2 linked regions of the Drosophila melanogaster genome follow. The protein of the gene in region 2 interacts with the protein of the main gene of each other region in a pairwise test. Each region holds a gene or a part of one and is shown on either strand. Other genes may lie near its edges.

Region 1 (4,872 bases), 1.9 Mb from region 2:
GCTATCCACTTAATATGTAAATGGAAATACATATGTACATGCAGATGCTTGCAACACACATTGTCGATATGAATGCATTTGCATTCGTGTTTATAGTTACCTAGGGAGTTTCATTAATATAGAAACATGTGTAACTTCGTCATATCAAATCAGCACCTGTTTTGATTGTACTGGAAAATGTTAGCATCACGCTTTGATTAAGTTCTTTTCAGTTTAGCTCGTGAATCAAAAAGCTTTTCATCCTGAATGGAGATTCCCTGCAGCTCAGTTTGCTAAGCCAAAAGATAATTTAATTTAATGGCAGTTTTTCTGAAGTTAAGTGTGCGTTTATCGTATTAGAAGGTCAATACAGTCCGCGACATCGCTGACAGGCGCGCACGCACGCTGGCAACGTGACAAATGGTTTAATTTGGCGAATTTTACACATTGCTGCAGTTGTTCTCGCAATTGCTGACAGCCGCGTTCTTCAATTTATATAACACTAATTAGAATCGAGTACTTCGGTTTCAGCTGGACCGCTATTTAATTGAATGGATGTTCCATACGGATGTGAACATATATGTATGTACCATTGGTTCGTTCGCCATACATATATTTATGTCTTTATCCTCCTCTACAAACACTGCTCCTGTCAGGATGATTTTCAGTGGCCAGACAGCAGGACATTCCGTGCGCAGAGAGACACATAATCTGGACGACGGTTTTTTGCATTTACAACAGTTTAAGTTACAGATAATTCAATTAATTACACGCTGGGCGACCTCGACAGCATCGTTAGCCATCAACAGACAGTCGCTGAATTAATTCATTTCCCTGCCATTCCAATTCACTTTTACTGGCTTGAAAACAAAGTAGTTACTCGCTAATTAAAACTTTAGCGTTTGCACAGATTTTTCATACATATATTGTGTTTTATATTGTTAACGAATGAAAAAGTTCTGTGTCCCCTGGTGAGTTTGAAAATAGGATGCATCCTGCCAATGTTTGCAAAAAGCTTATGTATCTTTTGTGCAAACTACACTATAGTTGCTTTTAGCTGCCACACCATATACAGCTGTGTATTAATTTCGTTCTCCACAAGTGCATATATTTGAAAAGTTATAAAACACCTGGGAAATGCATATTTCCGAGAACATTTTATGTTCGATTATACTGCAGTTGCAACCACGGAGGACAGACTGTACCCGCCTCGATACAGTAATCATGTAAATTTCCCCTTTTTGCGCAATTGAAGGCGACCTTTATTTATGGCGACGCGCCAATTAAATCGCCGTTGATTGGAAAGCAGTAAAGTGCAGGCGAAAAACTTCCAAAGACACAAAAACAAAAGCCCGACGGAATGCAGATCCCGAGCAACAAGTTGGCGGGCAGCGTCTGACATTAAACCCTAACTAGATCACTGGATGTGGATGTCGATGTGGTGCAGATGGAGGCGGTTTGGTAACCACGATGGTGGGTTACACGTTATGAGCTACCTGTTAATATGCAGCCCCACCACCTGACTGACAAACTAAACCACATTGCATTGACTGACTGACTGAATCTCGAATGCGCATATTATTAGCCAGCGGAATTAGTCAATAAGCTGTGGTTGCCACCAACCATCGCTAGATGTTTATTGTTTCAGTTTTTTGCCGCTGTTTCTATGGCAGAATTATGAGAATGGCAATTTCAGGGCTCCTCTTAAATCGGCACTAATTAGGCCTGCCTTTTTCATGCCAAAGCCCAATCAATTATAAATTTTCGACGAGCACAGTTTGCACCAATTATGAAATTTCTCTAATGAGCACGAAGGACAATCTGCCCAAATGGCCGAAGCAGAAACAAACAAGAAACTCGAGCATTGAAATTTCCGAAGTTGCGATTTTCCAGCTGATTTAAACTTTAAGGACTCTTTCTTTTGAAATTACCAAACCATCTTCATACCTTATACTATCTTGTAATCTAGCTATCTAGCATGAAAAATCTTAGCTAGTTGCAAGACTAAAAAAAAAAAGACTAATATTAATGTAGTTGGGATTGTAAATATTTGGCACACGTGTGCGGGTGAGCACTTAAAGATTCCGTGTTCCCAAAATAGCCCTTTCCCGGATATTATTTGTTTTATTTGCAAGAAAGGGCGGAGTAAGAGAAGAAGGCCAATTCAACCCAATACCATAGAGTCCAATCCAATTCAATCCAATCCCTTCATTTTTGGAGCCAAACGAACGCAACTCACCTCGTGGGCCTTTGGATGCTGGTGTTGGCAGTTGTGAGCGGTGGCCGAAACGAGGAGCCAAGAGCAGATGCCGAGGGCTGCCAGGAATTTGGCCATGTTACCGTGGGGGCGGAGCGGGGGCGTTTTGGCCATGGTGTTTTACTTCGGGGTGGAATATCGCCGTGGATATTATAGAGTACTCAGCATTGTAGCGGTGATCCTTTTCATTGTCAGGATTAGTGTGATTTTTGTTTAATTATCACTTGACTTCGAACACCCATATCTGCACTTAAAATTCTTTGTTTATTTTCCTCTTTGGTTTGCTTATGTTTGCTGCTTTTCCGCCGTTTGCTTTGTCAATTAACTCGCGAAAACCGGCTCGATTCGAATCCCTTTCCTCTCACTCGCACACATAAACAACTCGCACACACACGTACATACGCACACACAGAGACACTCAATTATTGGGGCCTTTGGACTACTTTTTGTTTTTGTTTTCGGGTGGGTGTGTCCCAATCTCAGCCCACGCCAAAAAAATGTGCATAAAACTACAGCAAACTACAAACTGCAGTTAGCCGCAAAAGGAGGAACAAACTCGCACTTAAATGTCAAATTCTCATGAACTGTCCGTGCAGCGAGAGCATTCTGTAGGACTCACTGCCATACCCGACACAGTGGGCACTCAATAAGCGCATTCGTCGAGCCTTTTCATTCAGCAAAACCATAAAAACACTCGCGCGAAAAGGGGGCGTTTGGGTACCGGCGGGGGTGGTTGGCACGAACAACAAACTTAGAGAGACGCGAGTCGAATCGTCCGACAACGACGTTAACGTTCGCCAGCCGATTTTGTTTTGAATCGAGTCTCTATACATATGCATAAGTACATGGACACAAGGACAGAGTGGCCATTCAACGAAAACGAAAAACGCGTTCTTATGCTTTTCCGAATCTGGTAACACCTCTTATTAGCGCTAAAAAATTACGTTGCCTATCGATATTTCGAATCGACTTTTTTAAAAATCAAGCGTCAAGACATGGATAATTCAATTCTTACTGCTTATGGTCACACCAAAAAGATAACAGAAATGTTACGAGAGATTAGAGTTCAGTGATGGCTAACGTACAAGTGCATCTAACAGGTTGGCATAAAAAACAATAAAAAATACCCTTTACGCTTATTAGATTTTAATATATACTTTCAAAAAAAAACCGCTCTCTAAATTTTATATAAAAATAAAATTTTATTAAAATACCATGACTAAAAATATGTTACTTTGAACCAACTTTTATTTGCCGCCTTAATCTAGTGATGTACGTTTTCATAGAAGAAACGGACGATATATCGAATCAATCGAAGAACGGATGATATCGTTGTAAACATAGATCATTCCCCACCACTATCACATGCACGATTTGTGTACAACCGCGAGTTTGATTAATAATATAATTTAAATCTGATACCGTCAAGAGAAAGTCCCAAAAATGGAGGAAGTTCTCGAGACGATGCAGCTGGAGAACATGCACTGCGATGTGTGCGAGGGTACCACCTTCCAGGAGCGCGAGGGATTCTACTACTGCGTAGAGTGTGGCACACAGAAGGATCAGATTCGTGCAGTGGACATTACCGCCGAGGATAACTTTGATGACACGGCAGCAGGCCGATATACAGCCAGGACGATCCGACAGAAGAAGGATACGGAGAAGGAGGATGAGGACGATATCACCTCGTGGGAATTCTACAACTACGTGCTGCGCGGCTTCCTCCAGGAGCTGCTCAACATGGGCGCCAAGCCGGAGCTCAAACTGATGACCCTGCAAGTGTGGGCGGCTTACTTGGACAGCATGGAGGTGGCCTTCAGCAAGAGCAACAAGACGGGACTGCCTAAACTGAATGTGCGGGCGCTGCCCATGTGGGTTCTTGCATTCTCCTAAAATTTCTTATTTTTAAATTCCGAATTCTTTCAGAGATGCCCGCATCATCTACAACCATAAGACATTCAAGAAAGGCAAAAAGGGCAAGAAGAGCACTCTAACGGGTGACCCAAATGACGAGCGCGCCAAGTTCAGATTGTGGAACAGAACTAAGGTAGTTTATTAGCCGCTGGTAGTCGGTATAAAGGGCAAGAAGAGCACTCTAACGGGTGACCCAAATGACGAGCGCGCCAAGTTCAGATTGTGGAACAGAACTAAGGTAGTTTATTAGCCGCTGGTAGTCGGTATATAGAATTGGTTAGGAAACAGCAGGGGCAGCAGCAGGAAAAGGGTCCGTTGGTAGTCATTATACATGGGTTTTGCTGTATTTATCTCCTGTACTGGATTAGAATCTGTGGCGAATATGTTGGATGAACAATAAGCGTTAGGATTAGTTTATCTAATTACTTTCAGTGACTTCTGGAGCTCCGGGAACAGGTTGTCCGTAGGCCAATGCCAGGATGGCCACGCCAATTAGAACCAGACGCATGGACATATTTGCAACGACACACTTTACCAAATTGCTGCTGACTTGAACACGTTCGTCTTTTATAGCTCCACAAGCTATATAAATGACATAGTTAGCCTATTCATTAGTGATGTTTACTCAGATGCGACTGTAACACCTTGATCCCATTCCTTTTGCAGCGCAATCTAGACGCCTCCGGCTACCGCTCGCACGGAGGAGCTTCAGAGTCCGAAGG
Region 2 (4,742 bases):
ATCTATCATGCTTAAGGTTCTTATTATATGAAATCCTATCACTTTGGCAGCAACTTGTGGCAGAACTAAGCTAGGATTCTTATTTCACAAATAGTGGAATTAATCGAAAAACCAGAATCGGCGAGTGTGAATATCGGAATATCGTTCTTCTACGCCTTCATCGTGGGCTTTGCATGTCGGACAGGAGTCGACTCAAGTCGCCTTGTTCAGGGTGTCCTTTGTGCCGCTGTGACAGCTGCTCATTTCACGCTTGGTAATTTCAATGAATTTTGCGGGGATTCTGAAGGACATGCCATGCCACGGCACGCTATCCACTTATTTGTATGCCGGTCATTAATTAAATTTTCTCGCTTATATTGAATATGTTTAGTTTGAATAGTTCTTCTTAGAAGGCAGCGGGGCTAATTTATATTTACACTATTATCTAAAATCTGTACTGTAAATAGTTTACTTCTCTCATTTTCCAATTTAATTGAAATTGATTAAATAGAATATCTTCTTACTTTAAAAGCGAATACATATTCCATTCCTATTCAATTAAATATGTCGAAATAAAAAAAAAACCTTCAATCCTTCGGGGTAAACATATACGATTATATCATATGCAATATCAATAAACATTAAAACTAAACACTACAAACAATTTAACAACAAACAATTTAGCAACAATTAGTTTGTAATCCAAATAATGATCTTCATCCTATTTCAGCATGTCTGCGTATCGAACTGGCAGATAGGCGAAGAAGGTTTTGAGCATGGATGAGCTTCTGGCCAAGTGGGGACTCAGGGCACTCCAGCAGATTCTTGTCAGGGTCAGGATCTTGTCGTTGAGCGGCATTCGGTATTCGGTTTTTAATTTCTTGCACAACGCCTCCAGACGTTTAAAGTCGTCAAAAGTGTCCTTTGCCGAGAATCCTTCGCGCTTGGCGCTGGGTGCTTCGTTTAGTTGGTTCTCAACATGCACAAATGTGGCCAGTCCCTTTTCAATCGTATCAACAATCTCTTCGTGGCAGTAGGTCTTCCCATATCGACGCTTAATCCACTCGACCATCACAAAGGATTTGTGCGAGTCGGGAAAAGCGGCGAAGACGCAGCGTGGATCCTGCCTCAGTACGGAAAATCCATCCCGCAGCAGGCGCTCCATTAAATGTTGGTTGTTGGGGTCGAACTTCTTGATTGTCTTTGTCCAATCTAGGGCATCATTTGTTTTGCAGATTTCTTCCGGCTCATTTTTGGCTGGCACTTCAATAGTCGTTGGTCTTTCGGATTGGCCAGATGACAGGCGCCGTTGATGAGCCTCCAGGGAGCCAAACCACATGTTTTGGGCGCACTCAACGATGGCCGCCACCACCTGGTCTCGGGGATTGATCCGTCCGTTGTAGTTATCCTCGCTTGAGGGGCAACTTTGCTCCTTTAAGGTGCGAATGGCCTGGGCACGAATCACATCCTTGGTATCTGGATTTTGATCCTGCGGTGCAACCGCATGGTATTTGAACACAAAGGGACTGTGCTGGTGAGGAGCTTCAAAAAAGCGTCCTGGCTTCGATGGTTTCTTGCAGGAAGACTGCTTATCGTCGCCGAATTTGGATTTTGTGATGGACACCTTCCGCGGACGTTTGATGTGTCCCAGTATAGGGGGTGGACATTTGGCCAGCTTTTGCTCCACGGGTACCGTGGGGCATGGGATGTCATCATCGGGATCCGAGACCCGCACTTTACTTAACCGACTCACGTTACCCCTGCCGGTGATCACATGGATACCCAAGGTGGGTTTGGCACTCAGACGCCCGATGTCCGCTTCCTGGGATAGGTACTTTATCCTGATATCCTGCACAGCCGTAGGCACTTTGCCCACCGAACACATCTGATCGTGATCCTCCAACAACATGACATCCGTATGGTGGCGCTCACGAAGTCGTTTCCAACGCAGCGTGACCTCCTCAATGTCCCTTTCCAACTGGGCCACGATACGTTTCTTAAGGAGGGCATCCTGCCGTGAAGTGATATCCACGAGAGCCAAGCACTGTTTGTGGGCCTTGACCACAGCTGCATCCTTCACCAGCTGCTCCTGCCGCAGTGCCTCCTTGTGGAACTCGCACATGGGCATCGCTTCGTTCTCCGCCGGTTGAGTACCATCTATCTTTGTCCAGTAGTCGGTCATGATGTCGCCGACCATCTTGAAGAGCATCCGCTTCACCGGCTGGAACCTGTAAGCGGCGAACCAGCGGTTCTCCTCGTTCACCTTGTAGTTGGGCCTCTCGCCAGCGGGCCAGAATGGAAAGGAGACCACGAGGCAGGGTCTCTTGGCAGTGAACTTCTCGCCACCCTTGGGTAGCTTTGGTTTGGGCAACGGGGTAAAGTAGGGCGAGCGGACCTTTCGGAGATCCGATTCCCGTTTGGTCGGTAAAGGTGTTGGCAACGACATGGAGCGATAATCCACTGGCGGAGCTATCGACTCTTTCTTATTCAGCCGTTCCACTCCCGGCGGCAGTATTTTGTCCAGTTCCCTCATGGTCATCTCCAGATCCAAAAAGGTGATGGCGGACATCAGGATCCGTTCACTGTACGCAGATCCTGTGCCCTTATAGCAGGCCTCCATCAGAAAGTAAAGGAATGCCAAGTCGCTGCCGCGACAAATCCCAATTAGCTTCCGCAACATCCGGGTCTTTACCATGGGCGTGACTCCCAAGCGACTGAGACAGAACTGGGTGCGGTACACAGTACCCTCCGCATTGTCATCCCGAATCGAGAAGGCCAGTGCCTCGACGGCCTGCACCTGGAAGTCGGACAGATTGGTGTACCATGAGGCCCCCACTGGGGCTGGCTTATCCAGCATGGTTTACTTCAACAATTTAGTTGGTATCGCGAAAAATAAAATAATAAATAGTCTAAAAAAAATTACTTAAAATTTTGATTGATGTATGCATATGTTGAAAGTTTAGACTGAACTAAATCATTTTAGATTTAAGTTAACACGCCCACTTTTCGTCATATATGGGCTGTAGTTTTTGAAATATTAATAAATGGAATGCTGATTCAATGCAAGGATACTGATGTCCCTCTTAAGCTGCACACCCATTTGTGCTTAAATTGCAACTGGGTGTCACTATGTTACGTAAAAACCCGGGCACTGATAAATACCTTTTCGCATGCATCGTTCAACCCATCGGTGCTCAATTCACACGCCAACACACTTATCGGCGATGATTGAGGCAATTGCATCGGTATCTGAGACTGCACTGAAAAGCCATTAATTTGCCACCTTCCATCAGGCAACAGGTGGATCTCGTATTGTTTTCCTCCGCAGTTCGCTCGTTTTTACCCACCTACCTGGCCACGTATGTACAAACGTACGTACGTTCCATGCGAGGAAGCCCCATTTCCCGTCCCGACAACTGACATCTGACAATGATGGATTAGTTTATCAGAGCGGGTCAGGACATTCATTTGCTCTTTGTTTCGCAGTTCATCGCAGAACACACAACCCACAGCCGACACACTTGCCCCCTTGGGGACTAATAACTTTATCCATCATCAGAGCGAAATATAATAGAGTAATTTTCTATGTGACGCGCCAGGATAATTGGCTGGACTTCGAGTTGGATCCGGACTCGGGCTCGGACTCAAACTCGGACTTGACCATATGTCGCTGCACTTGCAATCAGATATATTGTAGCAGGAGGTTCAGATCTGGATGGCCGGACTGGGGTGGTCACCAGAAGAATGGTCAAATCACATAAATTACTTTATGATGGCGTTTGGGCCATGAATCTGGTGAGAGAAGGAAAACTTTCTTTCAGCCTGGCACATGTGGTCACGGAAAGGCAAAAAAAAAAAACAAAAATGTATAAGAGTTGTATAAAAAAAGAGTGGCAACTTACAGACTGCCACAAGGAAGCAACAAAAGTCATTTCGAAGTTATTACCCCGCTCCACAAACCATTGTGCAGTATTAAAGCCAGGTCCAGTCAGTTTCCATTTGTTTGTCGCTTCATGAAAATGAAAAAAGGAACATACAGCAAAGAAGGCGAGAAAACAAAAGTTTTCCTCCTTTTGCCCTATGAACTTTGGCCAGCTTCGCTCTGCGATAAAGTTTCTGCCTTCTATTTTATTTTGTGGACAATTTTTATTTGTAACTCACCATTCTGTTTTTGCTGCCGAAAAAAGTTAGCCACTCGAGGAGCTTGCAGGAAAAATGTAATTTCAAAAATTTCAAATAAAATTTAAGTTCTTCAGTTGCCACTGCGAGCGCAATATGCAAATGATTAAATTCGAATTTATTTAAACCTGGAAAAGTGCAATAAGTGGATTGAGTGGATTAAATACCGGAAATAACTTACATTTGAAAAAACATTCAATGAAATCGATATATTTTAACTGTCATCCAAAAATTTCTTGTAATGAGGGAGCGATATGCAGTCGAAACAGAGAAGCAAGATAATGTGGAACCCACCCCGGAAGATGGTAAGTATTGCAGGACCTCAAGGAACCGCATATATATGATTTATTTACTTTAATTTTTTCCCTTGAAGATAACAGCAATTATATCGTTGAAAAAGTAGCGGTGTTCGTATCATGGATTTTAGTGTTGATTTTACTTCCATTTTCGCTGTGTTGTTGTCTGACTATAGCCTACGAATTCCATCGACTTGTGATATTTCGATTGGGTCGTATTAGGTAAACCTATTCGCTACCCTTAAAAGTATGATCTATAATTTAAATTTTATTTTCAGGAGTTGCTTA

What was found.
Region 1: the proteins of ssp5 (region 2) and Invadolysin interact in a two-hybrid assay, tested with the Drosophila melanogaster proteins (one large-scale study listed by BioGRID).

Annotation. Positions count from the first base shown.
Region 1 is NT_033777.3:10,142,879-10,147,750, reverse strand, and holds the start of Invadolysin (invadolysin), read right to left. Parts: upstream 3,084-4,872; 5' UTR 2,351-3,083; coding exon 2,219-2,350; intron 1-2,218. Other genes in the region: CG42759 (uncharacterized protein), read right to left, coding at 4,397-4,521, 4,577-4,664; TAF1B (TATA box-binding protein-associated factor RNA polymerase I subunit B), read left to right, coding at 3,680-4,107, 4,163-4,283, 4,817-4,872. UniProt on the Drosophila melanogaster protein: Essential for the coordination of mitotic progression, and also plays a role in cell migration.
Region 2 is NT_033777.3:12,031,359-12,036,100, reverse strand, and holds ssp5 (short spindle 5), read right to left. Parts: upstream 2,960-4,742; 5' UTR 2,837-2,959; coding exon 701-2,836; 3' UTR 576-700; downstream 1-575. Other genes in the region: CG31358 (uncharacterized protein), read left to right, coding at 4,400-4,463, 4,532-4,676, 4,733-4,742.